Linked DNA regions of Cricetulus griseus. The main gene of each other region encodes a partner of the protein of the gene in region 2 in a complex. Links are inferred from orthologs where the notes say so. Each region holds a gene or a part of one and is shown on either strand. Other genes may lie near its edges.

What was found.
Region 1: the proteins of Gabarapl1 (region 2) and Nbr1 are in contact, whole or in part, in an NMR structure (PDB 2L8J), measured with the Homo sapiens proteins. The link is inferred for Cricetulus griseus from reciprocal best matches to the Homo sapiens genes GABARAPL1 and NBR1. Residues at the interface, in NP_113600.1 of Homo sapiens: Glu12, Tyr13, Lys16, Glu17, Lys20, Ile21, Lys24, Tyr25, Arg28, Pro30, Lys48, Tyr49, Leu50, Val51, Pro52, Phe104; in NP_005890.2 of Homo sapiens: Ser729, Glu730, Asp731, Tyr732, Ile733, Ile734, Ile735, Leu736.
Region 3: the proteins of Gabarapl1 (region 2) and starch-binding domain-containing protein 1-like are in contact, whole or in part, in a crystal structure (PDB 8X8A), measured with the Homo sapiens proteins. The link is inferred for Cricetulus griseus from reciprocal best matches to the Homo sapiens genes GABARAPL1 and STBD1. Residues at the interface, in NP_113600.1 of Homo sapiens: Glu17, Ile21, Tyr25, Asp27, Arg28, Pro30, Val31, Ile32, Lys46, Lys48, Tyr49, Leu50, Val51, Pro52, Asp54, Leu55, Gly58, Gln59, Phe62, Leu63, Arg67, Phe104; in NP_003934.1 of Homo sapiens: Glu201, Glu202, Trp203, Glu204, Met205, Val206, Pro207, Arg208, His209, Ser210, Gly213.

What each region holds. Positions count from the first base shown.
Region 1 is NC_048600.1:114,592,360-114,597,638, reverse strand, and holds the start of Nbr1 (next to BRCA1 gene 1 protein), read right to left. Parts: upstream 3,892-5,279; 5' UTR 3,488-3,891; intron 3,286-3,487; exon of another isoform or gene 3,134-3,285; intron 1-3,133. UniProt on the Homo sapiens protein: Ubiquitin-binding autophagy adapter that participates in different processes including host defense or intracellular homeostasis.
Region 2 is NC_048601.1:16,532,966-16,538,294, forward strand, and holds the start of Gabarapl1 (gamma-aminobutyric acid receptor-associated protein-like 1), read right to left. Parts: upstream 3,265-5,329; 5' UTR 2,996-3,264; coding exon 2,906-2,995; intron 1-2,905. UniProt on the Homo sapiens protein: Ubiquitin-like modifier that increases cell-surface expression of kappa-type opioid receptor through facilitating anterograde intracellular trafficking of the receptor. Involved in formation of autophagosomal vacuoles.
Region 3 is NW_023276807.1:157,352,036-157,357,548, reverse strand, and holds the start of starch-binding domain-containing protein 1-like, read right to left. Parts: upstream 3,274-5,513; 5' UTR 3,210-3,273; coding exon 2,990-3,209; intron 1,528-2,989; coding exon 752-1,527; 3' UTR 1-751. UniProt on the Homo sapiens protein: Acts as a cargo receptor for glycogen. Delivers its cargo to an autophagic pathway called glycophagy, resulting in the transport of glycogen to lysosomes.

The DNA.
Region 1 (5,279 bases), on a different chromosome or scaffold from region 2:
TTCTCTGCATTTTCCAGTGTTTGGTTGTTATCTGTAGCACAAGCCAACAAGATAGAGAACAGAGACAAGGTGTCTGCACTCTGGGAGCAGCAACAGAAGCAGTTTTAGGTAGTCAGTTCAAGAACAGTCTGGGCTACAATGAGCACTTGTCTACAGAAAACAAGCAAGCAAACAAACAAAAACACCAATGCCCCCCAAAACCCAAACCCCAAACAACAACAACAACAAACTTCTATTACTTGTGGAAAAAGCTATACAAAATTAAAGAATGTAACACAAGGAGTCCTCATGGACCTATCAGCTTCCACAATTAGCAACTAGGAGCTAATTTTGTTAGTCAGTATTCCTTCCTTTCTAGTGTAAGAGAGAGAGGGAGAGAGGGAGAGAGAGAGAGAGTGTGTGTGTGTGTGTGTGTGTGTGTTGAGCAGATGACAAAGGGGCTTGGAAGCTAGGAAGGTACTCTACCACCATGCAACAACCTTGCTCTATGTCTCTCTTGACAAAATATTCACCCTTTCTTCCATAAATACTTATAAAATGAGAAAAATGAAAAAACCCATCATGATCATGCCTAAGATGCTGGCAATTTTTTAATCAAATGCCTATTGTTAAAATCCATTTGATTTTAGCCGGGCAGTGGTGGCACACATCTGTAATACCAGTGCTTGGGAGGCAGAGGCAGGCATGATCTCTGTGAGTTCGAAGCCAGCCTGGTGTACAATGCCAGTTCCAGGACAGCCAAGGCTGTTACACAGAGAAACCCTGTCTTGAAACACCCCCACCCCAAAAAAAACAACCTATTTGATTTAAGGAAAGACTTTGCTTACTGGTTAACTGTGACTTTAGGAAAAAAATAGTGTAAGTTGTTTAAAGCTACAAGCAATAGACACTGGCAAAAAAATGTCACCTCTTAAAATATTCATCTCATTTTCAATCTGCATGTAGAAAGAGCCATATTCGGGTCAACAAACAAGAAATGAACTTGAGTCCTAGATGTTTCCAATGTCAAAGAAGGGAGCCAATAGGGTGCAAACACTTGGGTCCCAGATACAGCTCCACCACAAGATTGGCTGTGCAACTGTGAGCAAGACTGTTTATCTTTGAGCTTCACTCATTTAATATGTAAAACAAAGACTATTCTGCTGACAGTAACAATGTTATCAAAGGGATCTAATAAAACCTTGGTCTAGGGACAGGGAGTAAGGAACCAGTCCACATATGTGCAAAGATAAGGGGCCATTTCCAGTACCACAAAGTATGTAGGATTCTTTCAAATAGTATTCAAATATGAAAATTATTACCATAAGAAACAATTCCTTAGGTCCTTAAGATAGCTTCTACCTTGCTATTATAACTTTGTTTTGGGTGGAGAGAGACAGGGTTTCACTCTGTAGCCCATGCTGGCCTGGGGATTGCTATGTATGTAGACCAGAGAATTGTCCGCATCTGCCTCCAGAGTTCAGCACTGTGGATACAACTGTACAACTGTCATTTTAAGAACCTTGTACTTTTTTTTTTTTTTTTTTTTTTGGTTTTTCAAGACAGGGTTTCTCTGTGGCTTTGGAGACTGTCTTGGAACTAGCTCTTGTACACCAGGCTGGCCTCAAACTCACAGATCTGCCTGCCTCTGACTCCCAAGTGCTGGGATTAAAGGCATGTGTCACTGCCACCCAAGAACCTAGTATTCTTAATCACAGATTATTTTAGAGACTCAATTATCCAATTTTTTCCATGACTTGTCTTCATCTAGAGTTAAGTTCACTGTCAAAGCTATAGTCTCTAGCATCAATCCTGTGGACATCCTGCATTCATACATTTACCCAAAATGCAATTCTTCCTTAGGATCTTTAAAATTTAGGCAGAATCCCACCAACCCTAGGTTTTTGTTTGTTTGTTTGTTTGTTTGTTTTTGTTTGTTTTTAATAAGGAAAATGAAGTGACTGAGTTTGCCAAAAGAAAAAATTCTGAGGTTGGGCTGGAGAGATGACTCAGTGGTTAAGAACGCTGACTGCTCTTCCAGAGGACCCGGGTTCAATTCCTAGCATCCACATGGCTTCTCATAACTGTGACTCCAGTTCCAAACACCAATGCACACAAAATAAAGATAATTAAAAAAGAAAAAATTCCCAAATACACTCGCACTTTCCAACTTCAAGAAATACACTTCCACACAGTTCTGTCTGGAAGGAAACTAATCTTCCCTGTTCTCAAATGACAGGAGTGGGAATTAGTTTCCATACTTTGGAGTTCATCCAGCTGCTCTGTCAATGTGAGAAAACAGGAAGCGAGAGTCTAGTTTATCTAGCCAATATTCAGGTCTTCATAAAGGCCGGACCTCACTGTGACTTACGTGTGAAAATTCTTTCAGGCAGAACATTAATGTTGAACTTGTGAAAATATCAAAGGTACAGTTAACCCCACATATTACCTATTGTTTTGCAGCCAGCGGTCAGGTGGCCGGGCCTAAGCCTGCAGCTTTCCTAAGTGGCACTGTAAACGCATGCCTCATTGACTCACACTCATGTGACAAAGTCAGCTTTTCCCCATAGGATGTTTTTCCAACGTCGACAAATAATATTAATATAGGGAATCTCGGAATCTGAACTCTATTGTGTCTACCAGAGGTTTAAAGCCGCCTAAGCTTTAAAATGGGTGATCTGAAAGCTGGGTGCTTGACAAAAAGGGAAAACGATGCCTCTCTAAACACGGAAGGTTCTAGATCAAGATACCTTCAATAGAGTCTCAAAAAGAGGAAAGCTCAGAATGAGGAAGATGTGTGTCCCTTCTTCTCACACACTTAGTCCTAGTCTTCCAGCAATCGTTTCCTGGAACTCCATGTCCCCGGGACAGTGAGTGTCACCACCACCGGAGGCCCCTCTTTTGGTACTGGGGGATTTCGACTTTCTCTTAGCAGAAACTGGCCTTTCTAAGCCATGAAGACTCTCCCTCAAGCAGAATCCACACCCCACTGTCGCTGACAACCCAAGCGGCTCTCTCATCTGGTCCCTGAAAGGACTGGCTGCCCTGAACACGGAAAAAAGTCACTGCTCTTTTCAAGATTCTCCTTGAACTTCCCCGAGACCTCTAAGAACGACGTGACCCCACTCGTAGGTAACAGCGGCGGCCTCCTTACCAGCTTTCCGCCCCCGGGGGGCGCTTGCCCGTGGCCAGTGCAAGGACCGTTCGCTGCCAGCTCGGCTGCTATCCCTGCGGGGTGAATCTAACATGGCGGACAGAGACCGGGCCCAGTCCCATGTTTCTCTGAGTTTCCGACAAAACGATTGGTTCTAACTATTTGTCCCTCAAAACCACCGCTGCACCGATTGGCCAATGCTGCGTCGGCAGGGGCGGGACAGAAGCTGTCTGAACCGCACAACAATAACAAACACCCAGGCCGAGGGGCGGAACTAGTGCGTAGATGTCAGCGGAGCGGATTTCCCGTTCCCGAGCCCATTGGCCGCCCTCTGCTTTCCCTGAGGTCACTGACCTTGGAGAACTAGTTACCCGAGAATCGCGGGGCTGGATGGGAATTGTAGTATTCCTGGGACTTGCAGCTTCTTTCAGTCTAGTCTCTGTGAGCAAGACATGAAAACAGAACGCTGCGATGTACTGCAGCTGACCTGCATAACCGCGAGGAGGTTTCCGCCGTACTAACTAGGTTGTTGTGGTAATCGCGCCAGCTTCCGGTGTTGGAAGCGCCTCTCCCTTAAGACTACAGTTTCCAAGGGACGCGGTGGAGAAGTCCTTTCGTCCCGCAATGCATGCTGGAATTGGTAGTTCTTTTTACATAATCCTTTCTTTACCTAAACTGGAGACTTCCATGGCAGGAAGACTAAGGGAGGGATGAGGACTCTGCAACTGCTTTGTTCACTACCTTGCGCTCATCTTCCGGCCTTGGGTAGCGATCCCGACCCTTTGTACACAATTACTGTGACGTAATAAGCAAGCGTAGATGCGAGGGGGCGGCTGCCTAATAGGAAACTCAAAATTCTTTCTCTTCCGTCTCTTTCTAGTTACGACACACAAGGAGAGACCAGGTGGCCAATCCTGAGCCCGGAAAGAGTGTCCACCTCTTTTTTTTCCTCTCCCTTCCGCTGACGTGTCTGGATCTTGTGTTCCTAGAGGCCGGCGCTAGCCGCCAAGCGGCCGGTTTCCTAGGCGACCGGGAGCGCGGGAATTACAGATAAATTGTCATTGCGGCTGCGCGGCGGGCGCCGGTGCCGCGGCGGGACCTAGTGCTTTCCGAGCGGCTTTCCCGGGATTTGGGCCAAGGGGCTGGGGAGCACGGACGTTTTGCTCGGGGTGAAGGTGAGACAGCTCTGAGGAACCTAGCGGTAGTCGAGTGAAGGGCGGGAAACTGCAGGCGGAGACAGGTGTTTACCAGGTAGGAGAATGCCCGGGGCGGGACCAAACTGAAAGGACTCCTGGGGGGTGCAGCTGTGCGGAAGAAGGCTAGGGAGGAAAGAAGGGGCGTCCTGGCTGTGGTCGTGCCGAGAAGGCAGTGTAAGCATGGTGGCTGAAGGATGAGAGGAAAGGAGGGCGGAAGTGTGGCAGGGAAATCCATGTATATTTCACGCAAAGGAATGCCAATAGTAGTAATGAATGCTGTCGGCAGGGGTACTTGTTCAAAGACTGCCTTGAGGCTAAGTGCCAGAAGGGGGAGGGTGGAGAAGCGTCAGCAGTGTTAGTGTGTTAGTGTTTGCATTTGGTGACTTAAAAAAAAAGTGCGTTTCTTTCCATTTGTTTGTTTTGGTTTTAGTTTTGTTTTTTTTTAATTTATTTATTTATTTATTAGTTCTAGTTAGGGAACAAGCTTGTTTCACATGTAAGTCCCTTCTCCCTCTCCCTCCCCTCACCCCATCCCTCCTCCCCCACCCCCAGCCTACCCCCACCCCATCCACCCACCACTCCCCAGGCAGGGTAGGGCCCTCAACAGGGGCTCTGCAAAGTCCACCAAATCTTCCTGTGCTGGTCCTGGGCCCTTCCCCATGTGTCCAGGGCCAGAGTGTAACCCTTCACGTGGGATGGGCTCTCAAAGTCCCTTCTTGCACCAGGGAAAAATACTAATCCACCACCAGAGGCTCCCTGGAGTGCAGAGGCCTCCTTATTGACATCCATGTTCAGGGGTCTGGATCAGTCTTGTACTGGCCTCCCCGACAGCATCTGGGGTCGATGTGCTCTCCCTTGTTCAGGCCAATTGTTCCTGTGGGTTTCTCCAACCTGGTACAGACCCCTTCCTTCTTCATTCCTCCCTCTCTTCAACTAAATTCCCGATTTCA
Region 2 (5,329 bases):
TGAAAAATACACATAAAATCTTGGGATTTTTTGTTTGTTTTTTGAGACAGGGTTTCTCTGTGTAACAGTCCTGGCTGTCCTGGAACTCACTCTGTAGACCAGGCTGGTCTTGAACTCACTGAGAGTTGATTGTCTTTGCCTCCCAGGTGCTGGGATTAAAAGCGTGTGCCACCACCGCCTGGACTCTTAGGTAGATGTTTATATATTTACTTAGAAAATAGAAAATACATTGCAAGAATATTAACATTAGATTCTTTGTTTTGAAGAGCGCATCTTAGATATGAGAAATGGGAACTACCAAAAAGTGAAGAAGCAGAAACAGACACTGGACAAGTCTCCCTAGAAGCTGTGTGACCTTCAGGATGTCTGTGACCTCTCTGGGCTTCTGAACAAGCAGCACCCCCAAAAGACCATATGAATAAATACATGTAAATGCCTGGGTAGACAGAGGTGAATCCAAACATTCAAATTAAGTAGAAAAGAGTTCGAAAAGGAGATTAGTAATGGACAAAAAAAAAAAAAAAGTAAGGAGAAAAGGCAGGCTATACACGGCAGAGCACAGGAAACAGGGGGAGCCCTGGTATTTACCACAGGGACTCTGAGACCTGGCAGCTTCCTCCAAGAATAGAGAAAACTGTTTTCTCCATCTGTGGCAGGTGGCTCATACGCCATAGGGCTGTTTACAAATGTTTAAAAATAGTGTGTCCAGCAGTTCCTGCTATTACAGGTTTCCAACACACTGTTATTTCAAGATCCCATGATCCCCTCTCCCAAGGCCCACACATACCTCTTCTGAGGCTAAGCTTAAGTTGTGAGTCAGACTGCCTTAGACACTTAGTGGCTTTCCTGTAAACACCTGGACATAGTAAGATTCAGTTCTGTGCCCAAGGTACAGGAACTCAGGTTACAAGGCTGAAACAAAACCACATCGCTGAGGATAAGGGTATACCCAGTGATAGAGGGACCACTGGGCAAAGGGCTCCATGCCCAATGCTGCCCCCAACCCAAATCTCTGCCATTTAGCAGAGCTCTTCTGTCACAAACAGGGTAAGAGCCATAAGTGGAGAATCTCTCAAGTTGAGGATCCATGAGATCCCAGTGATCTTTCTTAGCTTATAAATTATCACTGAAATAAAACATTCAACATCAAGTCATAAGCAGGAGAAGAATAAGGAGAAACTAAAATATCCTGGGTGAGTGCTGTAACCAAGCGAATGAGAGAGGCTCATTTGAGAAACTATAGAGGTTTTAACTGAATCTGAAGACGGACACCGCAGCTTGTGTTTCTGTTAAAGTTCTGAGTAACGGGTAGACATTCACTTAAGTTTCCTGGCTGGCACTGGTCTACCAGCTGAACTCCAGATGGCAGCAAGACTTAACCTACTTCCAGGACTCACCTATGTAAGGTGTAACACTTAATTCTGGTTAATCGAACTGGACTACACAAACTGGGAAAGGGGACAACCTAAAGGTCAAGGGCTCTGGAAGCCCAAAGCATGGCAGCCAGGCTGAAATCCCTCTCTGGCAGCTAGCACTGTCAGACCCCACCTTTGGGTGGGGACTTCACTCCCCAGTACTGCAGGCTTATGTCTGTAGCACCTAGATTTTAATGGTGTGAGTCGAGTCAGTGAATAGGCAGACAAGGCATTCAGAGTGCTGCCAGCTCTGTGGGCCATGTGTCATTTTAAAATATGAAGGGGGGGTGACAAATCCAAGACAATCCTCCATGGAAGTAATATGTGCAGGACTGCGTGCTAAGAAGAAATGACTAGCGTGTTTCCAGCCTTTCCCTAAAGACCCTGGTGCATACAGTGGAATAGTTAACTCTCCCCTTCCTAACAGGAAATGGGGATGAGGACTTTTCCCAGTTGAGCCTACATTTCTTCTGCTAGCCATAGCTGAGAGGACCGAGGAAACCCCCCCTCACCACCACCACCACCACGAACAGTACTTATGCATCAAGAAAAATTATTAGGTAAGTCCGGCTCGTTTACCCATTAAAGCTATGAGTAATGCTAATCTAACATCATTGCCTGTACAGATAAAGAGAACGACTTTAAAAGTCCCTTCTCCTCTAGCTACCATATCTAACAGTAATGTCGTCCTCGGCTTCCAATTCTGCTGCGCAGCCTTTAAAAGAGAAGAAAAAAAAAAAAAAATCAGGCAAGTGGGCGGGGGGAGGGGGGGCAAAGGGAAAAACACCCGGATGCTGAAGAAGACTCCCTTATTATTTTTCTCCTCACTGCATCAAATAGGTTTTAGCCGTTTAAATCGGGGTACAATTCGCGGAGGAAAAGGTTCTCAGTCCTCGCCCTTGGGGTCCAAGGCCCAACACATCAGCAGTGCAGGGCAAGGTCCTCTTTAGCACCACATGGCCAGGGAGGCAGTGATGATGATGAAGCAAGCTGACTGTGGCGCAGAGTGACCTTGTTTGCGGGCCCGCCTGGTGGGGGTTCTCCGCCGCCGCCTCTTAAATTCTAAGAAAACGCAGCGCAGAATCTACTGACTTCTCAAGTTTTTCCCCCAATGCGCTCAAGGAAATGAGGACGGAACCCGGATTCTTTAGGCAGACATGGATGGGCCCAAGGCTCACCACCACCGCACCTGCCACTCCGGGGATGCGCTGCGTGGTCTACAAGCGCGTCCCATCTGGGGCCCCCAAGCAGCGGCTCCCGCACACACAGGCCGCGCCACGCGCACATTCCCCACCTCCGCGGGAGCTGAATCCGCTGAGTCACCCCGGATGCCAGAGGTGGGCACTGGTCCTGGCAATATGGGTTTGTCAGAGCCGGCCAGGATTATGGGATTCCGGGGACCCCCCTGCTCCAGGGCCACCCTCCAGCGCTCCGGGGCAACCGGCTCCCGAATTTCCCTGCTCGCTCTCCCCCTCCCCGCCCCCACTCACCGGCACCCGGTCCGGGTATTTCTTCCTAATCTTTTCACCTTCCTTTTTCCGATATTCGAAGGGATGGTCCTCTTTATACTGGAACTTCATGATGGACCGCAGGTTGGGGGGCTCCCCGGACGGGGCCTGCTGCGCGCGCTGGTGACTGCGTCTCGCTTCTGGCCGCCCCCGGGTCAATGTCAACCTTATCACAATCGCTCCGCCCGCGTCAGCCCCCACACGCCCGTCACCGCACTACGTGGCCAGACGTCCAAGAGAGGGACCTGGGGATCTCCCCGCCCGAAGGTAAAGGACCACCAGGTAAAGAAATCGGGTGGCTTTTCCCAAGAGCTGGGAACACAAAAACACCAGGGCGGTGTTGTGACATCACGAGGCCCCGCCCCACCCCGCCCCCGGCGCGCAGGATCTGCTGGATGGGGGTGGACAGAAACATCGATTATTTGTGTGTGTGTGCCCATTACGCTTAAGCTTTCCTAAATCACTCTAGAAAATAAAAACTCTGTGTCTTGTCTTTTATTGTTGTGATTTGATATTAAAGATGTCTTTTAACCCCAAGAATGCTCTAACAAATGTCTTCTTCACTCCCCTTCATGTTTCTTGCTTGGTGCCCAAAACAAACACACAGGAAGAAAATCCAGCTGTTTCCAGAGCAATGGGATCAGGCGTCTGGTGGTGGAAAAGTGCCAGGCATCACGAGATCTGTAGCCCACGCTGAAATGTCCTGTGCTTGCATTTTGACCTTTGCCTGGCACCCGTGGCTGGCCTGGCTTCTCCACCCCAGCTCCTCCTCCCTACTCTGGCGTCCTTTCCTTTGGATCTGTGCTGGAGCTGGTACTGAGACAACATAAACAGTGCGTGACTCAGGGATTTTGCAGAGGTGTAAGGGTGAAAAAGCATGAGGTCATCAAGGTTAGAAGAGGAGATGCCAGCCATGAACACCGGGCTTCATGCACGTTTGAAAGGGAGATGATTCCATTCACTTTGTCCTGTTCACCCAGAAGTGTGGTCCTGGGTTCTTAAACATACAGAGATCAAGCAGTTTAGGTGACGACCAACATTACTTTCCTGGGGAATTGGTACCATCTGCTGGAGAGTTGTCCTGATGAAAAGGCCTCATGGGAACCAAAAGCTCTGGCTGTCACCCTAGTGGAAGACCCTAAGCCGCACAGCCGGGGTCGGATGGCCCAGGTCCCTCTGGCATATCGGGTTTCCTACTGGGAATCTTTGGATGCTGGGTCAGAATACTGATCCTACTGACAGTGACTCTCCAGACCTGTATTTGGGGAGCATTAGAAATGGTAAAGGTAGGGGTTCGAGGATGCTTTGTGCTGTGCAAATAGAATGACTTCTAAAGCCAAGCAGCCAAGCAGCCCTTGTTGCCGGCTTTCTTCTTCTTCTTCTTCTTCTTCTTCTTCTTCTTCTTCTTCTTCTTCTTCTTCTTCTTCTTCTTCTTCTTCTTCTTCTTCTTCTGCCTTTCAAATTACTCTCAGTGGCTTGGCCTTTAAAAGACCAGAAAATAGCCAGGCAGTTGGTGGAGCACGCCTTTTATCTACAAGAGCTAGTACCAGGACAGCCTCCAAAGCCACAGAGAAACCCTGTCTCGAAAAACAACAACAACAAAAACCAAACAGACAAAAAGCCCAGAAAATAAAATAAGCTAAACTTAAAACTTAAATACCAAAACAAAATGAAATGCATAGCCAACTTTCTTGTTTTTCTCCAGGAATCTTTGAATCGCCCCTACATATAAAGATCAGTGAGGTAATGCATCACATCATTATGTTTATATTAATAATTTTCAGGCTTTATTTTCAACTTGAAACTAGTTTAATGCCCCGTTCATCATTTTACCTTTGATTCAAATACAATTAAATCTTTCAGAAGAAAACTTTACAATCAGGTAAGATGAACCCGGGGATTAAAATAGTAATATTGTTATTTTCTGAGTGACTTTCAGTTCTTTTATAGATATGTATATCTCAGTTAATTGAAGGGCAGTTAATTCTTCAGCCCAGTGACAATGTATTTAATAGCATGAAAAATAAAAAATGCAATATTAGCTAATAATTGATGAGGGTTTTCTAAATGCTAGTAGTTTACGTAAAAATACAAAATGTATTGGGAGCTGGAGAGATGGTTCAATGGTTAAGAGCAGGGGCTGCTCTACAAGAGGATCAAGGTTTGAATTCCAGCAAAGTAAACAACTCAGGAGTGGTAGCTCCATTTCCAGAGGATATGGTGCACTCTTCTGGCCTCTGCTGTGCACTGCATGCTCATGGTGCATATACATATATGCAGGCAGAGCACCCACACAAATAAAACAAAAATCACTTAAAAAATACAAAACTTATCTATTCCTACAATTTTACTATTTAGTCTAAGAAGGCTCTTTAAAATGTAGAGAGGTATGTTTATAAATTTAAC
Region 3 (5,513 bases), on a different chromosome or scaffold from region 2:
GGAATGGGGTGGGGGAAGTGGACAGAGACAGTCTGGCAGGACGCTGTGGGTAAAGGGTACATATACCCTTGCTGGAGCCAGGCAAGGACCCGTAAGCACTGTACTCCCAGTTCTCAAAGGTGTACAGTATACCTTTCAAGCCTCCTCACCATCTCTCACCCATCCCACTCCCTCCACTTCTTGGATGACCAATGCTGATTAGGGCATTAAAACAAAGACACCCCTGCTAACTCCACACCTATCCTCAGCACTAATAATGGAACAAAAACTAATGGGGAGTCTCTGAGTGTCACTCCAGTCCTGACTGGTCACAGTTCCAATATGGTGTCATTTTAAAATGTAAACATGTTGCTTTAGCTGTATTTAATGAGACTTAACTGCCATCTCCCTATTCTAAGAGCTACAGGCTCTACCTTGTACTTGTGCAGTTGGTTAGTTTCTCCTTGCCCATAGTCCATACCTCAGTCTTAGCCAAGCCAACTACCCCTCAAGGGACCATCAACCCCTCAAGTGATGATGTGTCAGCACAAACCAGTCAGTGCAATAAGGGAAAAGTCCCAGCTCAGAGGAAGCATCATGGGCATGCATAAATCTTCCTACATTTTGGACAAAAGCCACACTAACAACTCTGAAAGAACTCTGATGGCTACAAATGGGTTCACACTGCCTTTAAATTATGCAGTGTGCTCTACAGCCTTAGCCTCTTCCACATTCTGACTCAGCCTCTCGCTAGGATGCTTTGCACTGTGAGTCAGTGAATCCCCCACCACCCATGAACCACCTTATCCTCATGGCCAGTCTGCAGGAGTCTGTTGCTGCATTCTTCCCAGCGAGTAACTTCCCTGTTCTCAACCAACACAAACTTCCATTCCACCACCGTGTCCGCAGGCAGGAAGACAGAATGAGACCACAGCCCATCCTTACAATAGTGGAGTGGGATGTATCTGGTCCATCCCCCAAGATTCTCATGGTCTCCCGTTACTGCAATGAACTGCACATCGGTGCTTGTGGTGTAGTGTACCTTGAACTGGATGTTGACCTGCTGAGGGGATGTCGCCTTCCCATCTGCTTCCCAGCCTCTTCCTCCCACAAGAGTACTTCTGCCATCATTCATTCCCTGACTCAGGCCCTCAAGACTGCCACCCAAACCAACATCCCCCCAAGATGAGTGCCTAGACACCACTTCCCAGTCCTCGTGGCCTGCCAGGTCCTGACTGACCGATTGTGCAAGGCTGGCTGCTTTAGCTCTGTCCCTGAGTAGGCTGCTGGAGGACAGCTTCTCTGCCATGCTCCCAGCTGTTTCTTGTCCTTTGCAGGGACTCCATTCTCCTATATGAACTTGTGGGCTTTGATTCCTTGACACTTCTGGATTGGCCCTGGAGTGCGTGTCCAGACTCTTTCCAACAGGAACACAATCTCTGGCATTGCTCCAGTCTGCTCCAGCATTCTGAAGTCTCTGTGCTCCCTGCAGGTTACCAAGATCTTTAGGCTCAGAAATCAAATGTCCATTGCTTTCTTGAAGCTGTTCTGAGAAAGGAAAGTTTAGCAACATTAGCTGGTTTCACAAAGGGAGACTGAGAAAAACATCCGATTCTACCTGTAGGCCAAGCTCCTGTAGAAATCAAGTGTCTATTTGCACCTTCCCAACCCGGCTCTTTGCGTGTAGAGCCAACAACCAAAACACACTCAGTGTGAGAGACAATGAAGTTGCAAGTTGCAAAGTCTCCCACAGGCCAGACCAAGTTGGCAGGGATCCAAAGTTAAGTCACTTGGCTCCTGTCATTAAAAAAAAAAAAAAAAAAATGCTGGGGGGTGGGTTGGGACAGGAGCTTAGCAGGCCCAGACACAAACACTGTGGCTTCTGTGGGACAAAGGACTGCATGTTACCCGGCCCTGTACTCCCTGGAAGTGAGTGCAGGACAGGGGTCAGCTCTGGAAGGCAGAGTGGTCAGTGTGAGTAGAGTTGGGGTGGGGGTGGGGGAACTTGAGGGGAGAGAAATCTCTTCAAAGACACATGAGGTCCCCCCCACACACACACATACCATACACACTTTAAAGATTGTTCTTAAAAGTCCACAAAGTCGCCCAAAGACTTGGTTTCTTTCCTGGCTACCTAAATAGCTCTCAAAACCTGAATTTCTACACTTGGTGCAGGAGCTGGGGGCACTCTTGCTTCATTTTGCCTCTTTTTAATGGTGAATTTCGGAGTCCGATGGCAACAAATCTCAATTCCCCAAATAAAACATGAGGCTGGCCTTCAGAGACAAGGAAACAGATGAACTGTTTATCAAAATTCAGCCGTGGGAAAGATTCTCACGTAACTACAAATGACCACCACTAAAAATAAGTTCTGCCAGGCAACGGCAACCTGCTAAAGGGCACAGGAAGGTAAGGCTTCGTGCCAGTGCACACTGGTTGCCTGGTGCGGGGTCTCTAGAACGTAGCTCTAAACTTACATGACAATTCTTATCAGCGTTTGGTTCCCAGCTTCAGTGGGTTCCCAGCTTCATGACCCATGTCTCAGCTGAATTTTACTTTTCTGAAAGAATTGTCCAGACAGTAGCAAGCGAGTGCTCAACGCTCGCCAGCCCCAAACTCAGATCTAAGAAGGGGTGTGGGGTGTCAGGGCTTGAAGCTAGGGGGGCGAAGATTCAGAGGATGCCCCTCCCAGCTTCATCGAGACTATAGAGTTGTGAGATGCCCCCCAAACCAGCCTCGCGCGCTGCGCCAAGCGCCGCCAAGTGCGCCGGGCGGAGGAGCCGGTGCCGGCCCGGAGCAGCAGGAGCAGGGCGCGGCCTCTAGAGGACCCGCGTGGCTTCTCCAGGACAGTACAGCCTGGGAGGGGGCCCGAGGAGGGTTCCGTCCCAGGTGGAGGAAGTTGGTCCACCACGATCCACCTGGAGAACTTCAGGTGGCTTTCATCCCCCCTTCCCCAGGGAACTCCGAAACACCGGTCACGTCTGCCCCGAGCCCCGGGGAGGAAGAATACCTGATTTGGAGACCAGCACCCGCTCGGAACGTTCAGGGCTCAGGCCGCCACAGCCACCCGGACCGCCTCCCGGAGTCGCAGCCTCCCCTGGAGGTGCGTCTTTCTGCGGCTCCGCACCCCCGTCTTGCCCCGGGACCCCAGGGTCGCCCCGCAGCAGCCACAGGATAAGCGCTGCCGCCAGACACCCGCCGACCAGGAGAGCGGACCAGACGGCGCCCATGGCTGGGAGGCTGCGGGAGACTGCGGGGGCCCCGGACCAGGGCTCCGCTCACCCGCACGGCCACACCCACCCCGCCCGCCTCAGCCTTTTACGGTTTCACCGTGGCCAGCCCAGCCCTCAGTGGCCACGAACTTCCCCGGCCCCGCCCCGCCCCGCCCCGCAGCCCAGAGCTCACTGAGTTCCCATGCTCCGCCCCTCCCCTCGCCGGGGTCCCGCTCTACTGAATCCCGCACCGCTTACGCACAGTACCGAGCCAGGGCAAGGGACTCCAGGAGCTCAGAAGAGATAGGGGGCTTACAGACCAGTACTCTTGCTGGACTCTTAGTACACGCAGGGGTGGAGCTAGCAGGGGAGGGAGGGAGAGAAGGTGGGAGGAAGGGCGGGGAGGGGGGCGTGAGAGAGGGAGGGCAGGGAAGCATAGAGGAAGCTCTACTCCTGTCCCCAGCTACGTCTAGCTTTCCCAAACCTCTATGTAATAATCTACTTAAAGGCCCACCTCAACCAATCCCTTTCCTCCTCGAACCTCTTACTCCCTCCTTTTTAAAAAGAAGGGTCCAGGCTAGCCTCTATATATCTAAGGCTGGCCTCAAACCACTGATTCCGCATCCCAAGTGCAGGGTTATAGACCAGCATCGACATGGCCCTATCCTTCCACCTCTTTTTGCCGCGTGTGTTGCTACACAACGCAATCCACCCACCTTAACTGGATATTGTACATGGACGGAGCCCCTACAAGTAAATATTAATAAGGCAGCGACCCTTTATCAAGCATCAATCATATATTCAAAGTGTTTTGTGTATGAACTTAAACTGATCCTCACACAATAGAAGTCCTGTGAAGGACCACACTGCTCTGTCGATAGGCACACACACCTACTTCAGGTTTATGCACCAGGGCTTTTTATTTCTGGAGGCTTTCCCTTAACCGCATCCTCCCACAGCCCCCTGCTAAGGCCGCAGCTGGAGTGTGTGTGCCTTGGAGCTATTGCTAACATGGCTCCCTCTGGGAGGATCAATCACACCAGTTCTCCTTGCTGGGATCATACAGCAGCTCTTAATAGGCACTTCCTGGTGGGTTGCTCCTCTCTTGGCACAGGCTGCAACTCCTAAGGTAGAAGGTAGATAGGCAGATAACATAGCAATAAAACGACTCCTGTTTTATAATTAAATTATTGGATATTAAAATGAAATACTGCTATACACATAGTTGAGAGCATCACAGCCCTCGTCAGAGAAGCTTCTTGTGGTCGATGGAGACTAACACAGAGACCCACAGCTGGACCACGTGTGGAGTGTGAGAGATTTGGGAGCACTCAACCCTAAATGGGATGGCGTTATTAAACCCCTCTCCTCAAGGCTCAAGGAACTACCTGGAAGAGGAGGCAGAACTATTCCAAGAGCCAGGGGTGATAGATGATTCCAAGGAAACAGTGTCTGGCAGACACAACATGATTTAAGACACTGATGCACTCACAGAGATTGTGACAGCATGAACAACACCTGCACAAGCTCAAACCAGACAAAATCGGGGCACTAAGAGGAAGAAGTGAGCACAAAGTTCCACCCTAATCAAGAGGCTATTTGCAACTGATGCCTGTTGGAAAGGGAAAATCAGTTTTCTCCGATGGAGTGTAACTGAGTGTGTCAGCCACATCAAGTTGATGTCCATGAGTTGGAAAATTGCTTGGTGTGGGAAAAAAAACCTCTCCCTACTTACCAATTCTCGCCACCTGGAGCTAGGTTCTTAAGAGTAGGAGAGAGTAAACAATATGCTTCCACTGGCCTCTGAATTGTCAGTCTCAGTGTGGGCACCCTGGGACCTCATCTGTGTACCTCCGCCTCGAGCTCTGATGCACTCTGCAACTATTCTCAACCCTGCTCAACAACTCCCCTAAAACTTGGCATTGCTTTCCTCGGCTCAGAATTCCACTTCAGCGCATCCTCCCTTCCTCACACTGATATATGGGATTCTTTTATTTGAATTCTGAACATATGAACTTTCTTAGTGCAAAGTCTGAGGTTTTCTCTTAGGCTACACTTATTTTTTTGGAATTCATCTCCTCTTCCTTTGGCTCTCAAATCCCTTGGGGGGGGGGGGGAGGAGGTCAGAGCACTTCATTCTTTGTGTTCCATGGAATGCCAAGTCTATCATGTAATATACCCTTTTATTGCTGCTTTTTATTGAGTGTCTAATTGATGCTGGCCCCTGGCTGGTGCTTCATCAGGATTATCTCATGCAACGCCTTCAGAGTCCAGATCTGCTCAAGGTCATCCAGGGGATAGCCGGCCAGGCTAGGATTTGAA